Xenopus tropicalis: one gene and its partner. The protein of the gene in region 1 interacts with the protein of each later gene in a biochemical or structural test. Links are inferred from orthologs where the notes say so. Each region holds a gene or a part of one and is shown on either strand. Other genes may lie near its edges.

Region 1 (4,415 bases):
GAAACATAAGTGCTCTTATTTACCACACTTCTATATATATCTGAGGATAAAAAAAACATCATCAATGGATCCTCACCGGAATCGGATGAATCGGAGGACGACGTTCGCGACAGGGAGGTGCACTGAGTCCGGAAGGAGATGCCATGTTTTCTTTTTGGCGTGTCACTTTGGCTGCAGAGAAATAAATATATATATCACCATGAAGCAGAGCATATTACACAGTGCAGAGCGCAGTCCTATACAGCAAACTCCCATTCCCACGCACTCAGGTGATCTCTCTGCTCTTTGGCCAGAACAATGGGGGCTTTCTCCGCAGAAAATATCCCATTTAATCACCAATTACAAACATTTGCACCTCCCCAGGGAAAGGGGACAAAGCCGTTTGTAGAGGAAGCCAAGCCTGATGGTATCCGTTATCTCCCAAAGCTCATTTCACTCTAATTAGGCAAATCCTTGGGGGGAGATGCGGGAAGATGGCAGATGGTAATGGCATAGTCCAAACCACACCAAATGGCACAGATAAGCACAGATCCTATGCGCAGGTATCGGCCCACGAGGCATTGCTACACAGCCCGGGGATGGGACGGAACACAGGACGGAAGCTTTGCACATAAAGGGGAACTTGTCAGCGTTACGAATTTCCAAGACAATGCAACTGTTGCCTTCCAAACTGATATCCAAGTACAGTAGCAGAACAATGTATGGCAGCTCCCACTCTTACGAACCCCTATAATCATAAACTTTGCCTTTTCTCTAGGTACTTACAGTATGAGGCTATAGGTCCACTGATCTGAATGAAAGTACCATTCCTGGGGGGTGAGGGGGTAGTGCGCAGGCGCGGACCCTTAGCCAGAGCAGGCAGGAAATGGCAGGGAAACAGAGAAACCCTTAGGGACAGATCTATTTACTGCATGAAAACAGGCCGCAGTATGTACCACCCAGCAACAGAAGAACCCCCCCCCCAATAACTTGTATCCTGCAGCCTGTACTGCATTTCAGTATGGAAAGCAAAGAAACCCAGGCAGTGGGGGCAGATTTTACCAGAGGCGCAGGGTGTGAAACCTCACTCAGTAACACAAGCTCAGAGCTTTGTTTGAACAATTGTGAAGCCTGACAGCTGATTAACAGCAACTCCCTGCTTCCTTGCCCTGTAGGGCGTACACATTCTCCTGTGTCCCATACAAACAAGGGATACTCAGTACAGAGGGGAGCAAGGCACAGAAGCTTGCAATCTAATTCACACCAGGGTTACAATAGCAGCAGATATAGTGGCCACTTAGTGCCAATGTCTTTAGCATTCTGCCCCTGGCACTGCCATAGGGTGCCACTAACCACACACAGCATGGGGAATATATTCTATTGCAACTTACCACTGCTCTGTGCTGCCATGAATTACCCATCATGCCTTGGCATTGCGCCTAAGGGCTGCCATGAATTACCCATCATGCCTTGGCATTGCGCCTAAGGGCTGCCATGAATTACCCATCATGCCTTGGCATTGCGCCAAAGGGCTGCCATGCTTTACCCATCATGCCTTGGCATTGCGCTAAGGGCTGCCAAGCTTTACCTATCATGCCTTGGCATTGCGCCTAAGGGCTGCCATCCTTAACCCATCATGCCATGGCATTGCTCCAACAGGCTGCCATGCTTTACCTATCATGCCTTGGCATTGCTCCTAAGGACTGCTATGCTTTACCCATCATGCCTTGGCATTGCTCCTAAGGGCTGCCATCCTTAACCCATCATGCCTTGGCATTGCGCCTAAGGGCTGCCATGCTTTACCTATCATGCCTTGGCATTGCTCCTAAGGACTGCTATGCTTTACCCATCATGCCTTGGCATTGCTCCTAAGGGCTGCCATGCTTTACCCATCATACCTTGGCATTGCGCATAAGGGCTGCCATCCTTAACCCATCTTGCCTTGGCATTGACCCTAAGGGCTGCCATGCTTTACCCATCATGCCTTGGCATTGACCCTAAGGGCTGCCATGCTTTACCCATCTTGCCTTGGCATTGACCCTAAGGGCTGCCATGCTTTACCCATCTTGCCTTGGCATTGACCCTAAGGGCTGCCATGCTTTACCCATCATGCCAAGGTACAGTACAAAAGCAATGTATAGTATATTTAAAATGAATTCTCACCTTCCTAGGCCGGCCAGCTTGTTCATGGTGAAAGCCAGACTGGTGACGGGGGACAAGACCCCAGATTCTTGGCACAGTAGGCCCCGGGCTCCAACCATGGCAAAGCCTGGCAGCAGGGTGGGTCTGGGCACAGGGACCTGGCTCCGGCTGGGACTGAAATCATTCAGCAGCTTCTCTAGCTCCATTGTTGGGGGGTCTGGGCTAGGAACTAGGGGTGCAAAGATGGGGTGCAACACAGCAAACTGGGGGGCTGCAAAGAGCAGGCAAAAGTGCAGAGCAATGCAGAGGCCTTTGTATATCCCGGGGTGCAGAGGCTTTAGTAGATCCTTATGCAGAGCAGGAAGTGCAGAGGCTTCAGAGTCACAGAGTCAGAAGTGCAGAGCTTGTTGCAGAACGGGAAAGGTGCTAAGCTGCAAGGGTGCTGATGTCAGGTTCCGGGGTGCAAAGCTGATGTCAGGTTCCGGGGTGCAGAGGCTGTTGCAGATCCTGGGGTGCAGCAGAGGGCAGTATATTGCACATGCAGAGGAGGGGTGGGGGGGCACAAGCAGAAAGAATATACAGCGATGGGATCGGGGGGTTCCAATGTGCCCTGTCCCCTACATGGGCGTCCCTATTTCAGGCAGATCATGGGCAGGGAAAGGAAATAAGAGGCACAGGGGCCCGACAATCGCTTCTCCGCCAGTCTCCAGCTTCTGCCCGCAGTCCCAGCGCTCCGCTCTTATATTCGAAAAATAACACAGCCAGGCGGCAGCGAACAGCCAATGGGAGGGGAGGGGCGTGGCCAGCGGCTGTCATAGACGTAGGCGGGAATCCGGGCTGTCAGTCACAGCCACATGTGTGTAGTGGTACTGTGGGGCTCTGGTACCGCTTTGTTATTATTGTAATTGGTCATCTGCAAAGGGGAACATATACATATATGTATTCATACAATAAAATCTAATCTTCCTGCTGTCCTTATAAATAAATATGAGGATGCTTTGGGGTATTTTGGGTGCAGCCTCTGTATGTTCCAACCCTCTCTCCTCCCCACAGATAAGAGACAGACTGAACTCTAAATAAAATGCAAACATTGTCAGATGAGCTGTTAAAAGCCCCAAAAGCTCACAATCTAGGTGAGAGAGGGAGGGGTTGTAAACCAGAACTCTAAATATTTATAGGGGGGTAAAATAACCTGCTAAATTCTGTAGAAATGTTGGATTTATATTTTAATTTAAGAAAAAAACAGACTTTCACTTACATTTTAGTGCAAGGTTTAGAAGACAAAGGTATATATATATATTGGTGATGTCATCAGTTATAATCAGAGCTTAGTGATGTCATTTCTGTCACATGACTCACTAAAACAAGTATATTTTAATAAATAAAGTACCCCCTGTTGTAAAAAATGAGGGTATTAGAAGTCACCTTCGGCCTTGTACTTTTATATAGTCATGGAACTCCTCAGTGACTTATAATATCCCTATATTTTACAATAGGGGGTACTTTATTCACTATATATTATAAGGAACTCCTCTGTGACTTATAATATCCCTATATGTTACAATAGGGGGTACTTTATTCACTATATATTATAAGGAACTCTAAGTGACTTATAATATCCCTATATGTTACAATAGGGGGCACTTTATTCACTATATATTATAAGGAACTCCTGGGGGACTTATAATATCCCTATATTTTAAAATAGGGGGTACTTTATTGACTATATATTATAAGGAACTCCTCGGTGACATAATATCCCTATATTTTACAATAGGGGGTACGTTATTCACTATATATTATAAGGAACTCCTCAGGGGCTTATAATATCCCTATATGTTACAATAGGGGGCACTTTATTCACTATATATTATAAGGAACTCCTCGGGGACTAACAATATCCCTATATGTTACAATAGGGGGTACTTTATTCACTATATATTATAAGGAATTCCTTGGTGACTTATAATGTCTCTATATTTTACAATAGTGGGTACTTTAGTCACTATATATTTGGTTTACAAACACCAAGAGTGAGTGGAGCGGAGATAATTCCATCCCCCTCTCTGCAGGAAATCTGTAGAACACACAGTGGGAATGTGCAGATATAAATGTGGAAAACATCTTGTAAGAAACAATTAAGCAATCATTATCAACCCTCTGGACTTTTAGGAAAAATATTTTCCAACATAACTGTGAGAAATTTGTGGTAAAACTAATTGCTATTACTATAATCATTTAGAAACAGCAAACATGTATTCAAGCATACTGTTACGTGTAAATACTAACCAATA
Region 2 (4,095 bases), on another chromosome or scaffold:
GAAAAAAGCAATTAAAACGTTAGAAGAATTTAAAAAAAAAAATGTTTTGTTGGCATAAACTCTGCTGGTACATAGAATGCAATGCAGCACTCCAGAACCAAACTGCTTAATCATGGCAAGGCACACTGGGCAGAACGTTTATATTCTCACTCTAAACGTGCCATTATTAATTATTCATATAGCCAAGCATGCCTTTGTTTGATAGACTTTTGAGATAGACTTCTGATTTTTTAAGAGCTGTACACATGAAATATGGATGGGAGTCATAGCAGGATTAAAGGCAGCTTGTCAGGGATCAATACTGACCATCAGCTGAATAAGGAGCCAAGAAATGTATTGATTAAGCGCGGCTTAGGGGCTACATGGGAGATCAGGAAATGTGTGTATAGATTGGCAGACCTTTTCCTATATGGCTGTATATCATCTCACTATATGGGCATATACTCATATCTCTAGATGGATAAATTGGAACAGGTATAGGATCCCTTTAACCCAAAACCCGTTATCCAAAAACCTACGAATTACAGGAAGAGCATCTCCCATAGAGCACATTATAAGTAAATAATTCAAATGTATTTTACCGAGATCCCTTTCTTCTGTATTAAATAGTACTGTGTACTTGATGGGAACTAAGCTAAAATTCTACTGGGTTTATTTAATGGTTAAACTATTTTTTAGCAGGCCTCAAGGTATGGTGACCCAAATAATGGAAAGATCCATTATCTGCAAAGCCAGATAAGTGCCAACTTTATTTAGGAAATACCAACTACCTTCTAGTGGCTGAATGATAAGCCCAAGGGCCCACAGCAACCCTTTGTTATACAGGTATGGGACCTGTTATCCAGAATGCTTAGGACCTGGGGTTTTCCGGATAAGGGATCATTCTGTAATTTGGATCTCCACAATTTAAGTTAAATCATTTAAATATTGGATAAACCCAATGGGTTTGTTTTGCCTCCAGAAAGAATTAATTATATCTTAGTTGGGATCAAGTACAGGTGCTGTTTTATTATTACAGAGAAAAGGGAATCATTTAACCATGAAATAAACCCAATAGTGCTGTTCTGCCCCAATAAGGGGTAATTATATCTTAGTTGGGATCAAGTACAGGTACTGTTTTATTATTACAGAGAAAAGGGAATCATTTAACCATTAAATAAACCCAATAGGGCTGTTCTGCCCCCAATAAGGGGTAATTATATCTTAGTTGGGATCAAGTACAGGTACTGTTTTATTATTACAGAGAAAAGGGAATCATTTAACCATGAAATAAACCCAATAGGGCTGTTCTGCCCCCAATAAGGGGTAATTATATCTTAGTTGGGATCAAGTACAGGTACTGTTTTATTATTACAGAGAAAAGGGAATCATTTAACCATTAAATAAACCCAATAGGGCTGTTCTGCCCCCAATAAGGGGTAATTATATCTTAGTTGGGATCAAGTACAGGTACTGTTTTATTATTACAGAGAAAAGGGAATCATTTAACCATTAAATAAACCCAATAGGGCTGTTCTGCCCCAATAAGGGGTAATTATATCTTAGTTGGGATCAAGTACAGGTACTGTTTTATTATTACATTATTTGCTTATAATGAAGTCTATGGGAGATGGCATTTATGTAATTCGGAACTTTCTGGATAATGGGTTTCCGGATAAGGGATCCCATACCTGTACAAGGATGTTGCTAGTTGCAGTGCTATCTTGTAGATTGTAAGCTCTTTTGGGCAGGGCTCTCTTCACCTCTTGTATCAGTTATTGATTGCTTTATATGTTACTCTGTATGTCCAATGTATGTAACCCACTTATTGTACAGCGCTGCGGAATATGTTGGCGCTTTATAAATAAATGTTAATGTAATGTACAACTATAGATGACATTCTTGGTTTGCATGACAATTTAGCTACCGGATTCAGTAATTGGGATCTAGTGTATGTGAACTGTAGCCCTCAGGCTGCCTAGAAAGTGTAGATAATGATAAATAGGCCTGCATATAGATCAGGGCTTGGAAAGGCTACAAATAAACACCCCATAGAGTTGCTGATCCTGTATAATTGTAGATATCCCCAAATGGAGCATTTGTTTCCCTGATTTGCCACTTCCTGCTGCTGCAGAAATAAAGAGATCACTTCCTGATTGATATTATGAAACACATTGTATATGTATATGAAACCTATTGTATATAAGGTGTGTGCTGGCTGTATACACTCTTCTGCAGCGAATTACAGGGGACTATCTTGGTGCTTTTTCAGTATTGCGGTATTGCTTTGTGACACTATACAAGCATCTGGCCACTAGGTGTCGCTGTTTCAATGACGTCTATAGGTTAAATGAGATATTGCCTACAAAAAGCTTTGGGGCACCGGCAACGAATGACATTAAGGGGTAAAAAAAAAATAATCAATAATGTGCGGTTATAGGTTTTCCATAACAAAGAAAAAAAGTCTATTAATTATATACGTATTTTCCATTTAACAGGGAAAGCATGTAACGGGAAATGCTGGGAGCTGTGTAAGGGCAGGGCTGGGGATAATACGGCTGACAGGGTCGGAAAGAGGCCTACGGATCGGGCGAGGTTACCCTGCGCATCGGAGGGTGTGGGGTACTAAGGGGGCCCCAATGGGGAAAGCGAGCGGATGTTGAGCCCCAGGCGCTGGGGAAAGGGATCCAGGCCGCGCACAGATCCCCGCCCTTGTAAGGAGCGACCCCATAGGCGGCTATAGAATGGCCGCCATCTCCCACACGAATGCACTACGCTCTCTGCCATCGCACGTACCTCAAAAATCCGCGACCTGCCAATAGATTCAGTAATTCGACCCGGGCTAGCTCAGCTTCCCTCACCGTTCTCCTCCTCTCCTGCAGATTCACTGGCCGTTCCACTTCCGTTCCAGCCGCCACTTCCGCTTCCTTCAAGCCCCGCCTCCAAGCCCCTCCCCTCCACCTTTCTCCTTCAGTTCTAAACTCCTGACAGTACAACAAGCACTGGCGGCTTCACTGGAGGGAGGGGAGAAGCGGGGTGACCTCATCGTTTCCTCGGCAACGGGGAGATGACGTCAACCGTCTTAGCAGGAGGGGTGGGAGGAAGCGCGTCTGGGCGGGAAGGGGAGGCAAGTGTCAGCTTGTAGGGGGTTTGAGGCGACACTTTGCGGGGCTTTTGGGCAGAAATCAGGGGGATTAAGCTGCCCTGACACAGTTATGAGTATTATTGAGTTTCTCAATCGTGGGGTATACAGAATGTGTTATTGTGCATTCTGTGGGGAATGAAGGCGTCTAACCTGCTGCAGTCTCCATTTTGTCGTCCGCTTATCTTTCCCCACCCCCTTTGAAAAAAAAAAAAAATCTAGCTTATTCAATTTCAATAAAATGGTGTTGTGAAAATAATCAATGAACTGCTTCGATAAAGCAATAGTTTGGGCGATTGTAACGTGTGCTTCGGGACCTTTGCTGTCAGGCTGACCGAGTGGCCTACACCATTGTCCCTTTGCCTCTAGGGCCCCTGTACAGCCTCATACCGGCCTAGTGATATTGTATTTGTTTCAGAAGCTGCTGGCTGCCTGTGGCCCTTCAAGCTGCAATTATTCTACAGGGGACCCTTGGCACACTGACCTGCAGTTAAAAAAAATATACCACATGTTTAAAGGAAAAGAAACACCAAAAATGAAATTGTTTTAAAGTAATAAAAATATTACATATACAGAAACCCTACTATAGTTTATATAAATACCCTGCTGTGTAGCCCCGGGGGCAGCCATTCCTGCACTGGTACAGCTGGGGTGTTTGCTACAGAAACCCTACTATAGTTTATATAAATACCCTGCTGTGTAGCCCCGGGGGCAGCCATTCCTGCACTGGTACAGCTGGGGTGTTTGCTACAGAAACCCTACTATAGTTTATATAAATACCCCGCTGTGTAGCCCCGGGGGCAGCCATTCCTGCACTGGTACAGCTGGGGTGTTTGCTACAGAAACCCTACTATAGTTTATATAAATACCCCGCTGTGTAGCCCCGGGGGCAGCCGTTCCTGCACTGGTACAGCTGGGGTGTTTGCTACAGAAACCCTACTATAGTTTATATAAATACCCCGCTGTGTAGCCCC

Evidence for each region.
Region 2: the proteins of cdc25b (region 1) and ywhab form a complex in vitro, tested with the Homo sapiens proteins (2 studies listed by BioGRID). The link is inferred for Xenopus tropicalis from reciprocal best matches to the Homo sapiens genes CDC25B and YWHAB.

What each region holds. Positions count from the first base shown.
Region 1 is NC_030677.2:15,574,638-15,579,052, forward strand, and holds the start of cdc25b (M-phase inducer phosphatase 2), read right to left. Parts: upstream 2,853-4,415; 5' UTR 2,328-2,852; coding exon 2,143-2,327; intron 172-2,142; coding exon 77-171; intron 1-76. UniProt on the Homo sapiens protein: Tyrosine protein phosphatase which functions as a dosage-dependent inducer of mitotic progression. Directly dephosphorylates CDK1 and stimulates its kinase activity.
Region 2 is NC_030686.2:12,511,724-12,515,818, reverse strand, and holds the start of ywhab (14-3-3 protein beta/alpha), read right to left. Parts: upstream 2,864-4,095; 5' UTR 2,776-2,863; intron 1-2,775. UniProt on the Homo sapiens protein: Adapter protein implicated in the regulation of a large spectrum of both general and specialized signaling pathways. Binds to a large number of partners, usually by recognition of a phosphoserine or phosphothreonine motif.